Schizosaccharomyces pombe: one gene and its partners. Changing the gene in region 1 together with any one later gene gives a genetic interaction. Each region holds a gene or a part of one and is shown in the gene's direction. Other genes may lie near its edges.

The links.
Region 2: mutations in mmb1 (region 1) and any2 together harm fitness more than expected from each alone (negative genetic interaction), as found in Schizosaccharomyces pombe (one large-scale study listed by BioGRID).
Region 3: mutations in mmb1 (region 1) and gld1 together harm fitness more than expected from each alone (negative genetic interaction), as found in Schizosaccharomyces pombe (one large-scale study listed by BioGRID).
Region 4: mutations in mmb1 (region 1) and byr3 together harm fitness more than expected from each alone (negative genetic interaction), as found in Schizosaccharomyces pombe (one large-scale study listed by BioGRID).

What each region holds. Positions count from the first base shown.
Region 1 is NC_003423.3:2,608,177-2,612,677, reverse strand, and holds mmb1 (mitochondrial microtubule binder Mmb1), read left to right. Parts: upstream 1-2,037; 5' UTR 2,038-2,134; coding exon 2,135-3,640; 3' UTR 3,641-3,990; downstream 3,991-4,501. Other genes in the region: SPOM_SPBC25B2.08 (uncharacterized protein), read right to left, coding at 92-469; BTB/POZ family ubiquitin-type ligase substrate adaptor Btb2, read left to right, coding at 4,308-4,370. UniProt on the Schizosaccharomyces pombe protein: Involved in the cell polarity process and in regulation of microtubule growth. Has a role in meiosis. Involved in microtubule dynamics.
Region 2 is NC_003424.3:3,810,625-3,816,296, forward strand, and holds any2 (arrestin-related substrate adaptor Any2), read left to right. Parts: upstream 1-1,924; 5' UTR 1,925-2,497; coding exon 2,498-3,631; 3' UTR 3,632-3,924; coding exon of another isoform or gene 3,925-4,316; 3' UTR 4,317-4,402; coding exon of another isoform or gene 4,403-4,769; 3' UTR 4,770-5,121; downstream 5,122-5,672. Other genes in the region: SPOM_SPAC1F12.04C (uncharacterized protein), read right to left, coding at 442-1,017; SPOM_SPAC1F12.06C (DNA repair endonuclease), read right to left, coding at 3,925-4,316, 4,403-4,769; ser1 (phosphoserine aminotransferase), read left to right, coding at 5,229-5,672.
Region 3 is NC_003424.3:2,174,081-2,178,151, reverse strand, and holds gld1 (glycerol dehydrogenase Gld1), read left to right. Parts: upstream 1-1,579; 5' UTR 1,580-1,791; coding exon 1,792-3,144; 3' UTR 3,145-3,511; downstream 3,512-4,071. Other genes in the region: vta1 (Vts1 family protein), read left to right, coding at 1-570. UniProt on the Schizosaccharomyces pombe protein: Glycerol dehydrogenase involved in the assimilation of glycerol.
Region 4 is NC_003424.3:2,246,704-2,250,419, reverse strand, and holds byr3 (translational activator, zf-CCHC type zinc finger protein), read left to right. Parts: upstream 1-1,856; 5' UTR 1,857-1,937; coding exon 1,938-2,477; 3' UTR 2,478-3,191; downstream 3,192-3,716. Other genes in the region: tRNA (uridine) methyltransferase trm9, read left to right, coding at 1-48; F-box protein Pof14, read right to left, coding at 3,339-3,716. UniProt on the Schizosaccharomyces pombe protein: Acts in the sexual differentiation pathway. Is required for efficient conjugation. Double-stranded DNA-binding protein.

The sequences.
Region 1 (4,501 bases):
AAAAAAAAATCAAAAATCAAAAATTTAGTTGGACAAAAAGATAGCATTATATATGAATTTATTTAATTATGCTGACATGTGCACAAAATAATCACGAACATTCCCCAATTACTGGCTGTTGTTCAATAGTAGCCAAAGCCAAGGCAGAAGTAGTACTGATTAAGACAGGAGATGAAATTGATCGTACCTTTTTAACCGACCTTATCCGTTGCTTACGGAGCCTTAGAATACCAAAGAAAAGTGTATCAAATAGTTTGAAGGAGCGAGAACGCTTGACAGAAGTATGTTTCTTAATACCAGAACGGGAACGATTATGCATAGGGGTATTTAATTTTTCACTCGATATACATAACTTAGAGGGATCTTCAATGTTGACAGAAGTAGGAAGTTGCGATGGACTGCGCATATCATTTGCCTGCGCATCATTAGTGCCTTGACGGGTATAACTGGAATTTTGATGTGGAAGCATGGTAATAAATTTTAAGAAAAAGAGAAAATAAAAGTAAAATGGAAACAAATCACAATCAAAGGTGAAGTGATGGGATTAAAGGTTTTAATGAGAAAATAATTCGACAAATATGTAACAAAGGGAAACTTTTTTTTTGAATTACACGAAATGTTTTCAAACTTGAATTATGCACAAAATTAGAGAAACCTGAGAATAATAAATAAGCTTGATAATCCAAATAGCCAAGGGATTAATGGGATATAGGGTTGTAGTGATATTTCGGGTGTTTAATTTATTTAGAAATGGGTATAAAGTCCAGACTGTAAACAGAAAATAATCAGTAAACGAAATCTTTAGTGTTCCGTCCGAAAGAAGTTACCCTAACGAGATATGAAATTATGCGAACAGACGAAGTTTTAGAAGCCGACAATTGAATAAATAAAGGATCAAACTTGCTTAGTTTTATCGAAGGAAGCAAAGCAAGAGAACCGTGAGTAGGAAATAGAAAGTGAACAGTAATAAAAAAAAGTAAAACAGTAGGGAACGTTTTCTTAGAGCTTATTACAATTACGAAAAATAAAGCTTATCCCAATTGAGATAGTTAAAAAAAAAGGAACGAAATAAAACGATATGAAAGACAACAAAGGATGGAAAAACAAAAACAAACCGCTGAATGAATTAATCAAAAGAAAGCGGAAAAATTAATAAATACTCATCAATAGAGTAGCACAAGATGAAGCGAAGGGAGTAGGACAAGGCGTTAAGCCTGCGTTTAGTCTGAACAATAGATATAGACTAAAAAGTGAAAGACGGAATTTCAAAGTCTTAATTGGGGTATTCTATGTATATATACGTCCATATCTGGTAACATTTGCAAACCGTCTTTGATGTCAATTTAATAAGGAACCGAAGGTAACTTGCACACCTTGAGCAGTGACTGGGAGTAACACTCTCCTTGACATTCCCTCGGTACATAGGAGACGAATGAACCGAATGAACAAATAAACTAGATAGTTGCCCAAAAATGCACACAAAGCATTATCACTTTTATTAATTCAAATAACGACATACCAAAGTCGTAAAAGTTGGTAACAAACTCTTCAAATGATATTTCTACTATAACATTTTTCGTAGTACTTACCACTACGGGAGATTTGTAGAATCGGTATGATGCTGTGGAAGAAGAGTTATAGCGGGTTTCCTCAATGTGTACATGTTATTCTCATTGTACACTTGCATCTTAATTTTCACATTGCTCTCTCCCATCAATGATTTGCTTTGGAAAAACAACGGGAACAGAAATCTGGGAGGGAACGGAAAAGTATATTCATAGCAATCACAATTTAACGATAATTATTATGGTCAAATGAATACATATATTGAAAAGAATCGGTCAGCTGGATAGAAAATATGTAAACAGTGCAGCACTTATGAAGGTAATTTTATTTGTTTGCATCAGGTAGCAAGAGTTTTACGGGGATTAATAGAATTCGTTATATATACACTAACAATATAGGACGTAGTTTGTTATTGCTACCTAGTGTTGGGCGATACCAGCTAACGGTGTAGTGTATTTGGCTTTCTCTTTTGTGCATTCAGGGTTGTTGATTGCGAGTCTTATTCAATTTTATTCTGCCAATGCCGGGTTCACCAAGCCAAGAGCCTTTGGCAGAGGCCGAGTCTAATATGCTTCAAAGACTGGAGCAACTACAAATGCAAACATCGAATATTCTCAAGGAACTGCATTCTACGTCGATTTTCACGGATTCTACCACCTCACAACTTCATAATGGAGGTGAGAACTCTGTAATGGATACTGAGGAATCCTCGGCTATTGATAAATTAAGTGCCTCTTTACAGCAAGTAAACATTTCTTCACCATCAGTTCCTACCTCTCAATCTCGGGTTACCCAAGGCCAGTCATTAGGAAATACCCAAATATCTAATCCTACTTCAAAGACTAATAATGTACGAGCCAAAGCTCGGAATATTCGTAATCCCTCTCAACGTCTTCGACCCTCGACTAGTTTGGCCAGGTTATCAAATAACGCACCTCGCATTCCCAAAGAGGCATCACTACATGAGAATTCAATTTCTTCCAAGGAATCTCCTTCTGTAACGACCTCTAAACATGTCGCTACTATTACAAAACCTTCAACGTCGTCTATCGCCCGAATGTCCTCAAATGCTAGAATTGCTGCTATTCCGAGAGCGAAATCTTCAATGGCAGTTCGTTCACCATCACGCCTTGGTAATGGCCCGAATGTGCGCTCACCAAAGGTCGGCTTCAATGCAAAGTCGGATGATAGCCCCGTCGTCAAATCTCCTGGCTCTAACGACAAGCCTTCAGCTTCTCCTCGAATTTCTGTTCGTTCTCTCGGAAATTCTTCTGTCGTTCGTCCACCCACAAGGACTTCCACCACCCGTCCATTATCTAGAGTTAACGTAACAAATGCTTCCGGAAGTATCTCAAAGAATTCTACTAGTCCTTCCAAAGTAAAAGTCAACGCATCGACCAAGATCGTGCGTCCTGTAAGTGCAGCTCAGACTGTCCGACCGGGATCCAGAATCTTCAGAGAAAACTCTGCGTCCAATACTCAAAGACCCAACGTCTCTGCCACTTCTAACTCAACTGTTCGGGTAGCTTCTTCATTAGCTGTACGACCTGTTTCACGTAACGCGCAGGCGCGTACTCCCTCAAGATTAGAACAGAGAGAAGTTAATGTGAAAAATTCATCAGCTAAAATCGTTCGTCCAGGTACTTCTTTAGGTGTTCGTTCACCTTCTCGCATTCAATCCACTCTCTCTTCGAGGACAACTACAGGCAATGTTCGTACTAAAGCGGCTAATATCGTTCGTCCTTCTTCATCAATCAACCGTCGCCCTCCTTCGTCAATAAATCAACGCCCTCCTTCAAACTTGCGCATTTTGGCTCCATCTCGCTCGCGTGCAACAATTCATGAGAGACCAAGCAGTTCAATTTTACACAGGCATGCCCATTCACTAACTTCTTCATCCTTTTCCACTAAAACATTGGCTACAACCAAAGAAATTCAGAATTCGCCTACTTTGGTAGAGTCTTCGACAGTCGTTCATCATGATCCTTCTTATCTTCAAAACCAAACTTCCGAAATTAACGATACTAATCACTCTTCTCATTCGTCACCTTTGGACCTTAACAGAATGATATAAAAGTTGAGTGAGCTGCTGTAATTTGATGGCTTCTGTTCCATTTACACTTATTATTCTGCATAATTTATATCACATGTAGATGTTTTATCATAAGGATATTATTATTAAAAATAAGACAAACCATACGGGAAGAATTGGATGTTACGATTTGATATATTACTTTGTATTACTTAAGATCAGCTAATTAATAGCTTTTAAGCTGAAATTATGTTGCATAGGTTTATTCAGTTGAAAGCTTCACGACTGACTTGATGATAGTCGAGAAGTTTAGAGGGATGCGCTCTGTGTTAAAATTCAGCATGCAGCAACATCAGCATACAACCGATATGTAATAAATTAACATTAACAAACTGGCATTGTTTTCGTGCTCTATCAACTATCAGCAGTAAGTAATTGAAGACATTATGAAGTAAATGAGATTGCTGCATTACTAATTCATTTAGCAAAAAATTAAGTAAATAGAAGGGTTAATTTGTGCAACTTGTACGGTATATTTTGGATAGCGCAATTACGTTACGATTCATAACTGCAAGAATATCGAGCTACTCCAGTGCGCTTTCCTTAGGAAACCAAAACAATATTTTAGTACCTTTTTTTTAAATATTACTGACGAGTTTCATTCTGATTTCTTTTTATTACTCCTAACGGATGTGGCTTTAATACAATCATGTCAATGAACAGCTCAACGGAAATTTCTCAAGAGCCCTCTATAATGAAACCGGTATCTTCAGTAAGTATTTTTGCTATTTGAACTTCTGCGTACCTTGAGTCTCAGTTCTTGTATGAACTTTACTCTCAAATTAATGGTTGTTTGCGTAGTTAATTATTTTGGATTTATTGTTAAATCGTTCATGTTTTGTT
Region 2 (5,672 bases), on another chromosome or scaffold:
TATATATGATATACTTAAAAGTATGATATCGTACATCCTCAATTTGAAATTGCAGGGCCATTAAAAACACTCGTTAATAAAGATATTCAGTTCAATTAGAAAAAAATGACAAGGTACATTTTGGTGACAAACAAAGAGTAACTTAATGTTTTCCGTTGATTAAATTTTCGATCAATATCCCAAAATTTAAAACGCTTTAATGGAATGGATTAACGATTAAAATCGACTTCATTTCTAAAACCTTTCAAGCTTTAAACCGATTCAGTCCCTTCATTTAGAATGGCATATTTCGATTTTTGCTGAAAAAACCAAGACGACTGTTACCACTTTTGTTTACTACTTTACTCACATAGACATTCGAGAAAACGAAAAATAGTTGAGCACGAATAGAATTACATGAAAAAAGTAACTTCTATTTAAATTTAAAAAGCTCATTCGTAACTAAGCTCTTTTATTGTGCAAAGAGAGGATTAGTTTTCTAGTTTGTACAATTGCGCTGAAAAGACCAAGAACTCCAATTTGGTGTTTGTGTAAACCAGCTCCATTTTCTACAGACCAGTGAATACACAAAGGAAGGCTAGCCAAGTTTGAAGCTAAGTCTAACTGATGCTCCTTTTCGTCTTCTGTTTTTTCACGCAAAAGCTGGTAAATGGTCAATAAAGTATCGAGAAGCCAAAATCTAGAAGACCAAAGCCATAATTTGTCTTCCAACGGTTTTGATATGGAAATAATCTGTTTGCCGCCTAAGAATGCCAATCCTTCTGTGACATAGTATCCAATATTGATTGCGTTACTCATGTAAGTTTCAGGAGAAGAATCTTTACGAAAATTTACGATTAATTTGTAGAGACCAGGAAGACGTAAAATACATCGAAATTCATTTAGCATAGAAACCAGTTGAGCAGTTGATTTCGAAGATGCTGGATCCAACCTCGCAACGTTGACAAGAATGGCAGCAATTTTGTCAATTCCGCTGGGATTTTGCAGCATCAGGTTTAAAGAATGCATATAAGACATATTTCTCAAAAAATTTCAGCTCTAAGATTTGGTCAATTATATTGTTCACGAAAGGTAGTCTAATTTTCGTATACTTTAGTAGAAAAGCGTAAAATCCAAAAAAATACTAAGTAGCGTATGTAAACGACTAAAATTACCAAATCCAAAGATTATTTGAATGACGATAGATGTCGGTTCGGCAACGTCTTATGGTATAGAGAGTGAGTGTGCTGCTATAGTCGATCGGATCAGCAAACGTTAGCTAGTCTGTTTAGTACACCAATAGATTTGATAAGAAAAATCTACAGTGCAGCAAAGTGAAATGTTATTTTATGAGTTGATCGATTTTACTTTTAGAATTACAAATGATAAGATATGATAACTTTCTCCAGTTATCACGTCGATTAGATCGCCGGAAATAACTCCGATATTGAGGAAAGTGTATTCAGTTGCAACAAACAGCTGTGACGGCTTCAAAGTATCGGCAAATCATTTTTTGCATGTGTTTTAAAAAAATAGTTCAGCAATAAAAAACATAAATTTGTTAGGCTTCTAGAGGCATATGCTTATTTATGTGTTATTTTTTTAATATTTATCATAACGTATTTTTTATTACAAATCCTTAGGTAGCAATATCTTAAGAATTAAACATACATATGTTCAAGGATAAAAGAAAGAAAAACTTGGAAACTGGGTTTATTTTTTCTATTCCTTTGTTCAGATACATATAAAACAGCTTAGTTACTATGGATTATTATCATATAGAATTATGATAACTGTTTAAAATAAATATTATTTGGAATAACGAGATTTGTTTAGGTCGGCTTGAGATACGCACAGCTACGTAAGATTGTAGATAACAAACTTTGAAAACCTTCGCATTCAGTGGCCTGGGGAGCATGCAGACTACACTTCCTATTCTTCCTTTGCAAAAACCTTCTCTTCTTACTACATTAGTATATTTTTCATAGGGAGGTGCTATATGCACTGTATTCATAGTTACGCTCTGCTTACAGTGAGCAAAGTATTTCTTTGGACGCTAAAAAAAGGCTCCTGTATATTGATTTGAGTAAATATTTTGGCATAGAAAAACACATTCAACGCTACTTAATTGTTTTTTCCATTTCGAACTACTATTGAGAGGAAGTTGTTTTTTCAATTGTTTTATATCATTTGAAAAAAATTGAAGCACAATTGCTTATCTTTGATCAAACGTTTAAGGAGTAAGCTCCAAATTCGATAATCCCTATTCCGTTCTACATAAAACCTGAGTTCATCTCTTGTGCTGTCGCTTTCAACCTCAGAAGCTGTTAAGGATATATATTAATTTAAAATTTTTACCAAAAAATATATTTCATTCTCTTCATAGCCGTTTTCTGTTTGTTTAATTTCAATCTCATATTAATTCTTCTGATCGGGCCCCCCTTTGTTCTTTAGATTCATTTTTTCCTACTCTTTCCTTTTAATATTTAATTCCTAAGTCATTAGCTGAACCGTCAAGATGCCTTCATTAGTCAGGAGATTTCAGCATGCTTCAACAGAAGAACAACCTTTCGAACTCAACATCCAGATGGAGTCTCCTCCTTTGGTAATGTATGGGAATCCAGATGTTTCTAGTGGAGCGTTAGCATCTGGACTTGCCAAGTTGACTGTATTTCCTGCAGATCTCAAATGCGAATCCATTGTCATGGAATTCGTCCGCATAATATCCACAAAGCGTCCTTTGCGCGACAGCTGTCCCGATTGCAAAGCTCAGGTTGAGGCTTTTGAGAAATGGGAGTTTTCTAAAGAACCTACCGTATATACTCATGGTACACATACTTGGCCATTCACTTTTATAATACCTGGACATTTTCCACAAACGACCAACTCACCATTCATAAACGTTACTTACATCCTAAAAACTCGCGTTAAGATTCCCAGTCAACCCGATTTTGTTTTTGAATATCCTTTAAACTTGAAACGCTCTATTGTCACTAATGCTGATAAAATTGCCCAGCGTCTCTTCCCCCCTACTTCGCTTATTGCTCTTTTAGAGCTGCCTCCTGTAATTCACCCTTTGAGTTGTGTTCCTGTTGAATTTCAGCTGACCGGTGTAAAACCTGAAAACTCCAAGGTTGGTTGGCGCTTAACGAAGATTTCGTGGAGAATAGAAGAACAGATAAAAGCTCAAATAAATGGTTGCTCGACCCATACTGGGACAAAAAAGCCATACATTTTCAAGGAGACTCGGCTGTTGGGAAATAATGAACATAAGTCTGGTTGGAAAGAAGATGGCGATAGAATTATCTTCGAGATCCCTATCAGTACATCTTTACTTTCAAAGCCTATTTGTGATGTTTCCTTTGATGGACAATTCTCTCTATATATTGCCCATCAACTAATTCTTGAGACTATAGTCGTCGAAGTGATGAACTCGCATCCCATAAACTCGAATGCCCGAATTTTAAGGATGAAGGTCAATTTACCTTTGACTGAACGAGGTGGTCTTGGTGTTAGTTGGGATGAGGAATGCCCCCCAATGTTCAATAGTGTTGGACCCAGTCCTCCTGCATATGAGCAAGTTGCTAGATCCTCTCCCACTGATATTCCACTACCTCCACCTTCATGTCCTACAAATGTTCAAAGAGATTGATTCGAATTTTAGTTTCTTCCGTCAATTTTGTTTTTTTATCTTTCTGTTTTAATTGGGCTTGTTTTTTCATTTCAAAGATTTGTGTATCTTTATATGACTTGAACGGTAATTTTTTGACCTTTACTAAGCTTGGATGATACAACAGGATTTCCATTAAAGGTTGCTTAACGTTTGTTCAAATTCCGCTTTTTTATTTCTCTTTCCTGTAGATTAATCTAATTCTAAACCGTCAATTAAAATACTCACAGAATATCTAAGTAGACAAAGTAATGTTTCTCGTAAGATGATTTTGCTTAATTTTTCTTATTCCTTTTCGATTGACTTAGGACAAATTTGGCATAAATGTCTGCTTGCCTGATCGGTTCCGGTACCCTGCTATGAGAGCTACTGCATTTCTGTACGAGTTGGATAGACTGTTCTAAATTCATTTGGTTACCGATGCTAACATAAACTGGGCGTTTCGAGTTACTGCTTGTCCATACTGCAGCGCCCAGAATCTCAGAAGATTGATCAATCGAGTGAATCAATATTGGATGATCAGTTGTTTTCTTTAGCACGTGTTTCTTTAAAGTTTCACGATGTGCATCTAAGCTTTCAGTCAAACCCACGCAATGTAAGTAATTTTTCGCGACGCCAACAACGGGAAGATTCAACAACACACCTAAATGGCAAGCCAATCCAAATCCTAAGTTGAGTTAGATATAATTAATAATATCCTTCATTGAGAGTGTCTCCTTGAAGTAAATAGATTGTTTACAGAATCTTACTTACCGACAGGATGCAATACGCCATTTCCATCTACTAAAATGATATCAATTCGAAATTGATGAGGAATGTGATTTAGCAATGGCAAATACCATTTAATTTCTCGAAATGAAAGAAACCCGGGAACATAGTCCTCTTCTAATTTCTCAATGCACAAATAATCTTTATAAATAATCATACGTTGTTCTAAATCATAAATAACAAGGGCTGAGACAGCCTTTGGACTTGATTTATCAAAAGAGATATCCAATCCTACAACATATCTTATTTCATTCAAACTTTGAAATTTGGGAATTAGCTGCAACATCCCTTTAAGTTCAATTTGCTGTTGGCGCCATATCGTTAACTTATCATGCAAATTGTCATTATTCATAATATACAATTGATCTTAAAATCATTTAGGTGTTTTTTAATTTAAAATAAACCGGTCTTTTCTGGGGCTTGAGTTGAGTACGAAAACCACGAAGTGAAAAGGTAGAAGTTCCCACATATGAGATTTAGACGCGAAATGTCAATTAATGTAATGAGATATCTAAAATATAAATTACTGTAAAAGAATTAAATTGACAAAGCGTAAACGAATACGCTATCATTTTTGGGATCTCATCGGTGTGTATAAAAAAGAAGTAGTGACTTCACTCACTTCCTCTTAACCCATATCATAGGAGTTGATAATTGGATCACGTTGACAGGTTTTGATTTCTCTAGGCGACATTTACTATTGTAATTAGTTTTACTCTCATATAAATAGTTTTGGAGTAATACCTGTGAAAATTGATATTCAGATTATTTTAAATTCTAAGTATACTTCTGCTTGAGCTCACGGAACAAAATGTCATCCAGAGAGGAAGTAGTTAATTTTGCTGCCGGTCCTGCCGCTATGATTACCTCTGTAGTTGAGGAATTTGGAAAGGACTTTGTCAATTTCCAGGGCCTTGGCATGGGTGTCGCTGAAATTTCCCATCGCAGCAAGCAAGGTTCCGGGATCGTTACTTCTGCTGAATCCAATTTTCGTAAACTTTACAATATCCCCGAAAACTTTCATATTTTATTTATGCAAGGCGGTGGTACAGAACAATTTGCCGCTTGTCTTTATAATGTTTATGCACACCATGCCCTCAAGAATGGCAATGCTAAATCTCTTGTTGCAAACTATATTATTACCGGAGCCTGGAGTAAAAAAGCATATGCTGAAGCTGAACGCTTAGGCTTCCCATGCCACGTTGCAGTCGATATGAAAGAATTGGCCGGGAAATATGGATCTTTACCAGAGGAC
Region 3 (4,071 bases), on another chromosome or scaffold:
CCAGCAGCATCGCTCTCCATCTCTCCTACAAAGTCTGCAGCCGTATCTTCCGAGCCTAATGTAGAAGCAGACGTAAAATCGTTGTCTTCAACACCGGCTGCTCCACAACTAAATTCACCTTCCCATTCATATGAGCCTACCACGTTCCCCTCAACTACATCAATAACCGAAAATTTGCCAACAATAGATCCTACTCGTTCCACTCGCTCTTCCTCGCATATCCAAAGTTTATCTCCTGAGTCAAAGCAAACATCAGATGGGCATCGGCCTCCCTCCCCTACGTCAATCACCACCACCTCCACCTCCATCGATCCGTCAGTAGCATTTTCCAGCAAGTCAACTTTAGCCACAACAAGAACAAATGCCCCTCTATCAAGGCCATCTCAACCGACTAAAGCCTCCCCCTTGAACAAGTTTTCCGCCTTGGAGGCTATCCAATCTGCTCGAAGTCATGCACGCTATGCATACAGTGCATTAGACTACGAAGACACAACGACAGCCATTCATCATCTAAAGTCGGCACTAAAACTTTTGGAGGAAGAGGAGCAGGGAAATCATACTGCAGACTAGAGGAAGAATGCTGGGGCTGGAATGGAGGGGATCTCAATGAGACAATGGGAAAAGGTGGGGCAGATACCAGTAAAATTATCTATCCATCTTGGGGAGAAACAATCTAATTGTACCACTCTCCCCACTATTCGTCTCTCTTAATGTTTGTTTATTTGTTTGTTTTTTTTTTATCCACTTTTTTTTCTTCAAATGCTTTCTAATTGTAGCAGGACCCCGCCTTTCTCTCCACTCTTCCCATTTTCCCTCGCCGTTGAGTGGCACTGCTCATCCCTGTCTCCTCATTTTTTGTCGCGTCATTTTAGCGAGCGTTTATTAAGGAACTGGCGAATGACTGCTGTTGTATATATTTCCCCAGATTTTCAGCAAGTAAGCTTTTGTCTTGTACTGCATACCACGTTGTCTTTCTTGCCCCTATGACGCAGTTATGAGACCAACGAGTCATGGGTTTATCCTGCCTCATCTTTTGTTACGTTATTTTCCTGTCTGCTTGGGTTTGGCTTCCGCAGTGGGGAACTGGCAATTGCGGTGGATATGTGTGGTGTCATCGCCCTCTCATCAAGTTTATATGTAGAGGGGCAGCGCTGAATTCTTTGCTCTTGGTTATTGCTTTCGCAGTTTTCCATATTTCCCCCATCCATCCATCCATCCATCCACCTCTTCTCTTCTCTTCTTTTTTTAACAGAATTGCTTTTTCCATTGTAAAATAAAACCATAGCAAGTTTTCACTACCACTTGGGTTTTTTTTTCTTTTCTTTAATTATTTTTTTAATCAACTTTCGTTGCTTTAATTTTTAAATATTTTTTCTCTTTTCATTCTTCCTACTCTTCCCGTTTACCGTCGATCGGCTGATTCTAGTTTTGACAATCACCATTGACTACGTCGATCCCTTTTTTTTTGGCCAGCCGAGATCATATATCCCGTTCATTCTTGGAACTTTCGTGATCTTTCGACTGTCTATTGATTCCGCAAACAAGTATATATATACACATATAGTTGTTTTTTCTTTTTGGACCTCTGTTCCATTGCGTTTCTCTCCTTCTTAGTTACTTGTGCTTCTTTACCTATTTCCTTTTTCTTTTTAAATAAGGATTCTTCTGTATCGAAATAAATTTCAAGAAAGGTAAGAACCGTTCCACACGCCTATTCTTGTATTTCTCTTTTCTTCGATTTGATTCGATTTCTATTCGTAACGCTTAGCTAGTCTTTGAACTTCCTTCATAATGATTGGTCCTCGTCTTTGCGCTGCAACCCCTCGCTTCCCTCTCGTTTCCCTCGCCCACAGGAACTCTAAAGTATTTGCGCTCGCCTCTTCCAATGCCGTTGCACAACGTTGGGGCAAACGCTTTTATGCTCCTATTGAAACGGAGACGCCTCACAAAGTTGGTGTAGAGTTTGAAGAATCCAAAGATCGCATTTTCACCTCTCCTCAAAAGTATGTTCAGGGTCGTCATGCCTTCACTAGATCCTATATGTATGTCAAAAAATGGGCCACTAAATCAGCTGTCGTGCTTGCCGACCAGAACGTATGGAACATTTGTGCCAATAAAATTGTCGATTCTCTTTCTCAAAACGGAATGACTGTCACCAAACTGGTCTTTGGCGGCGAGGCAAGCTTGGTGGAACTGGATAAACTTCGCAAACAGTGCCCTGATGATACTCAAGTCATCATTGGAGTTGGTGGTGGTAAAACCATGGATTCCGCAAAGTATATTGCTCATTCCATGAATCTTCCATCCATCATTTGTCCTACTACTGCCTCCTCTGATGCCGCTACTTCCTCTCTTTCCGTCATTTACACTCCTGACGGTCAATTCCAAAAATACAGCTTTTACCCCCTTAATCCCAACCTCATTTTCATCGATACCGATGTGATTGTTCGCGCTCCCGTCCGCTTCCTTATTAGTGGCATTGGTGATGCTTTGTCCACCTGGGTGGAAACTGAATCCGTTATTCGCTCAAATTCCACTTCCTTTGCCGGAGGTGTGGCCTCCATTGCTGGCCGTTACATTGCCCGTGCTTGCAAAGACACTCTTGAAAAGTATGCCCTGAGCGCTATTCTTTCCAACACTCGCGGTGTTTGTACCGAGGCATTTGAGAACGTGGTCGAGGCCAACACATTGATGTCTGGTCTAGGCTTTGAAAACGGTGGTCTTGCTGCTGCTCATGCCATCCATAACGGTATGACCGCCATCCACGGTCCCGTTCATCGTTTAATGCATGGTGAAAAGGTTGCTTACGGTACCTTAGTTCAAGTTGTTTTGGAGGATTGGCCGTTGGAAGACTTCAATAATCTTGCTTCTTTTATGGCAAAATGTCATCTTCCCATTACCCTTGAGGAACTTGGTATTCCCAACGTAACCGATGAAGAGTTATTGATGGTAGGTAGAGCTACTTTGCGACCTGATGAGAGTATTCACAACATGTCAAAGAAGTTCAATCCATCTCAAATTGCTGACGCTATTAAAGCCGTTGACTCCTATTCACAAAAATGGCAAGAACAAACTGGATGGACCGAGCGTTTTAGATTACCCCCTTCTCGTCATAGTCCTCACTTGACCGACATTCATCCATAGGCATTATTTTTATCCCCAGCTTCAATTTTCCCTAGTAAATCCAAAAGAAGAAAAGAAATTTTTAAGCGGGTTTTCTTCATTGATCATTAATGTCCTGAGTGTTTTTTTTTCTATAGTAGTCTTTTATTTCGTGTGCTTCCTTTCCTCTTGGAACTTTTTTTACCTTTTTTCTTTCTTCCTTTTTTTTATTTTTTTAAAAAAGTTGTAAGCTTTTCCCGTTAATCTAGTGATTTAATGATCAACCTTTTCGGCCTACTCCAAAGTTTTTTACGCCCCTTATAACTTCATGAATAATTTGCTTTATTTTTGTTACGAATGAAAAAAATTGTTCCCCTTTTCAAATGAATGTTTTATCGTTGTTAGTTGTATTGTATTAAAGTTGTTCACCGTAATTGATCTATTTGTTACAATGCACATCATCTGTGTTGCTTCCTTTTTTTTTTTTTTTTTTTGCAATCGCTTTTTATTGTGATAGATTTCAAAAGTTTTAAATGTAATTACAATTAATAATGTTCCTATGTTAGAAAACTTTAAATAACTAAAGTGATTTGTTTTCACGTATTATACAATTGTCGCTAGTGGCCTTGTCAAACATTCGTTGTTATTATATTATATGCTAACTCAATATGATTAGTATGCTACAAATGGTATAATAAGTGAGTAAATCCCGGATTCCTAGCTACATTGAAAACCCTTTTTACCTTAACCTTTGCATCGATCAACAATTTCGCGCTTTATTTACATTGTTTACTGTGGGATAAATAAGTAGTGTTGTCAACAATACATTACTCAAGGATACACTACGTTGAGTATCACTATATGACACATGTCCTAATCATTCATCGTTGTATGAAACAGTATTGAGATTGACCTTAATAATAATCTATTAATATTTTTATTATCTGAATACTATAAATAGGGCTACTG
Region 4 (3,716 bases), on another chromosome or scaffold:
CATGGCTACGACCGTGATAACTGGTGGGTAATTGCTGAAAAAAACTAAGTTTTGGAATGAAAATTGATCGTCATATCACCTTGATAGAACAGATTTTTCATCTTTCTTGAACTTGTTCTCAAAAAGTTGGAATATTTCTATTTTACCTTAATTACATAGTTTAAACTATTTTCGTTCGGAAAATGATTTTACAGATTTTTTTTTTTAATCTAACTGGTAGAAGAATTTCTGTGTTTTATGTCTCGATTATTAATTTACTGCGTTTAATTATAAAATGAAGCGATGAACTAGTCATTCCCAAGGGCGAAAAGCGGTCAAATGTACTTGTTTTCAAAAAAAAAATTGACGGTTTCTTAGTATGACAATAGTGATAATTTGATATCGATTGAAGTGGTTTTCTGTTAAATGATACTATACATCTGTGAATGGGTTGGAAATTAAAATGTTAATCTAATTTTTGTTAATAGTTTATTCACGTAGGTTAGTGAAATGACGGTTCAAAGGTTGCATAAGTATTGGAAATCGATGAAGTATGTCAAGCAAAAACATTTTGTAAAATGAATAAATTTCAAAAAAAAAATATTTTTTTTTAGAATAATTTGGAATAATCATGCATTTCTGTATATGTTAAACTTTTAATATAAATCTGTGCTTGAGTATGAAATGAATTATCTAAAAAACAGTGTTTGAATAAACGTGTCCCAATAATAATGATAAATTGTAAAAAATATGTAGGAATTATACAAAATTTATTAAGCCACAAATAGGAATAGTAATTAACGTACAAAATTTGATTTGAATTTAATAATTTAAATGCGACTAAGTTACTTGCTTTTCTATTTACCAAAACGAATTCCAAAGAGAAAAAAATAAGCAATTAATAGTTTGGCAAAACACTTACTGCATGAATTAAATTAATAATCCGACATGCATTAATAAATTCTTGGTTGCTAAATTCAAATAAAGAAGTAATCAGCAGTTCTTTGCTCCTTAGTCGAATGATTACTTTTTTTCTATTCCATTCACCTTCTATTTCGTATTTGTTATATTCATAAAGTCTAGGAAAAATATAAAAAGATTTCCAAGATCCTAATTATCTATTTAAAATTATTATGTTGATATATCGTCGCGTAATATAATTAAATCTTTTTTTATCGAAACCTCAACAAGCTTTGGTGGTTTAGTGGTATAATGAATCGTTGCCATCGATTCGACCCGGGTTCGATTCCCGGCCAAAGCATTATTTTTTACCAAAACAATTTTTGGATTTATTTTGATTTGTTTGAATTCAAGCACGTGGTACTCTGGATACCTAAAATATGTACAACTATAGATTCCAGTAATATATATATTGCAAATGACTGAACTCAATTCTTCAGGCGCTATACTGTGAATGCAATGTTTCTACGATTTTTTGCCATGAAAAATAACGATGCTTATTTACCACGATTCAAAGTAACTAAGCGTTTGGTTATATTCGCTTGGAATACCAATCTACATTACAATGAGGAGGCAATAATTGCTATGATATAAAGCTATTGTCAGAACCAAAAAGTCCTGAGTTTATGGGAAAGAGTGAGCTTACTAGTTATGTAAGATATTACACTCTCTATCACAAAAAAAAGCAAGTATGCGGTAACAATTCTTCGATTCCATGACTCTTTTTAATTGGCAAGTTGTTGTGCTTCTTCCGTCGGTCTAAAACAACTAAATTCTTATTTATTGACATCTTTAAGACCAAAATAGTCGCTTGTCAAATTCGTTACTTCCAAGTGCCACCATGTGCTTGTTACTTAAGAAAAATTTAGACAGTCACACGCTCCTATTTATTAAGGAAGTGTAGTCAGGTTAGCGAGAAAAAGTACATTTTTTCTGTTTTTTTTTATTTTTCTTAATTTTCTTTAATAATTTTTTTTAATTGTAAAGGAGTTGTTAAGATGGAGTCTGAATCTGTTCCCACCGTTCCTCAAACCACTCGTCCCGGTCCTCGATGCTATAACTGTGGTGAAAACGGTCATCAAGCTCGTGAGTGCACCAAGGGTTCAATCTGCTACAATTGCAATCAGACCGGTCACAAGGCTAGCGAATGCACTGAGCCTCAACAGGAAAAAACTTGCTATGCTTGTGGTACCGCCGGACATCTCGTTCGTGATTGCCCCAGCAGCCCTAACCCCCGTCAAGGTGCGGAATGTTACAAGTGTGGTCGTGTTGGTCACATTGCTAGAGACTGTCGTACAAATGGTCAACAAAGTGGCGGACGATTTGGTGGTCATCGCTCCAACATGAATTGCTATGCTTGTGGCTCTTATGGCCATCAAGCCCGTGATTGCACTATGGGCGTGAAATGCTACTCTTGTGGTAAGATTGGACACCGCAGCTTTGAATGTCAACAAGCTTCAGATGGTCAACTTTGTTACAAGTGTAATCAACCAGGCCACATCGCCGTCAATTGCACCTCTCCTGTAATTGAGGCATAAGTGCTTGCTATTTATAACCCTTTGTCGTGGTATGAAGATATTTTTTCTTTTTCTTGTCCGATTTATTCAAATTTGGCAAGTGGTCATATTCTTACAAATCCCTTGAGCGATCTGCGCATTTAGTTATATAGAAAGCATAATTTTACATCCTTCTCTTCGTCCTTATTTTTTCGCACACTTCTGAATTCATTTTTGCTTCGGATCCTTAAGGATATTTGTACTGAAGCCTGAGATGCACCACCTCATTTCTCTCCTGTTTTCTCGTCACCGCTAAAAGATGGATGTTGATAGATTAAATCCTTTTTGTTTCAGTTTATTTTTACTGTTGTAGTGGCATTTTTTTCCTATTATTTTCAATTCACGAGCTTGAAATAAAAAAATTTGGAATATGGGAATTCTATAAATGATAGAAATTCCTTGGTCCATTTGGATGATTTGTTTTTTTTAGTGCCATTATTTAATGGAACTTTTGGTTTTATATGACAACTCACTATCAATTTCATTTACGAAATGGGTTTTGGCGTTTTCGTATTTTTTGAGTAACTTAATTTACCTTATGTGTTTGTACAGTAAATGTTAATGCTCTGACTTATTAACAACTTCTCTACTTCTTAATCTCTCATGGTATCTGTATAACAATATTTACAAAAGGGTTCTGGGTCATTTGCCTAATTAATATTATTTTTTCCTTGCATTGCTTACTCTGCTTTTCAAAAATGAACTGTAATTGAAAACGGGTGAACGATAAATGTAACAGTTGTCATAGACAAAAAAAAATTTATTAACTTCAATTTTACTTTCATACAAATTTGACATCGAATTTGTCTATTACATAAAATCGTAGTATATTAATCCAAAATTTTATTGTTCACATAACTCAGCCAACTGCGCTCGAAACAAACGAAATAAACTTCTTGCAAATTCACCTTGAGAATGGTAAATACTCTTGAACGCTTTCTCTTCATCCCTAGCCAATTGAACATGCTCCGATAACCAAGAGGGGAATTTTTGACCAGGCCTGCTTATATATCCCACCCCTAAACGATCTTTCATAACATCAAATTTGTATCTACTTACAGGTTCATAAAAGTCAATGATTGCTTCTAAGCATTGATCACATATATTGGTAGCAACAGAAGGCCGGTAAAATGAGGTAATGCAATCTTTAAACTTAGTTAACTTCGGTATTCTATTGCAAAGCACACAACGGCCTACAAGATTGCATGCTAGCTCTATATA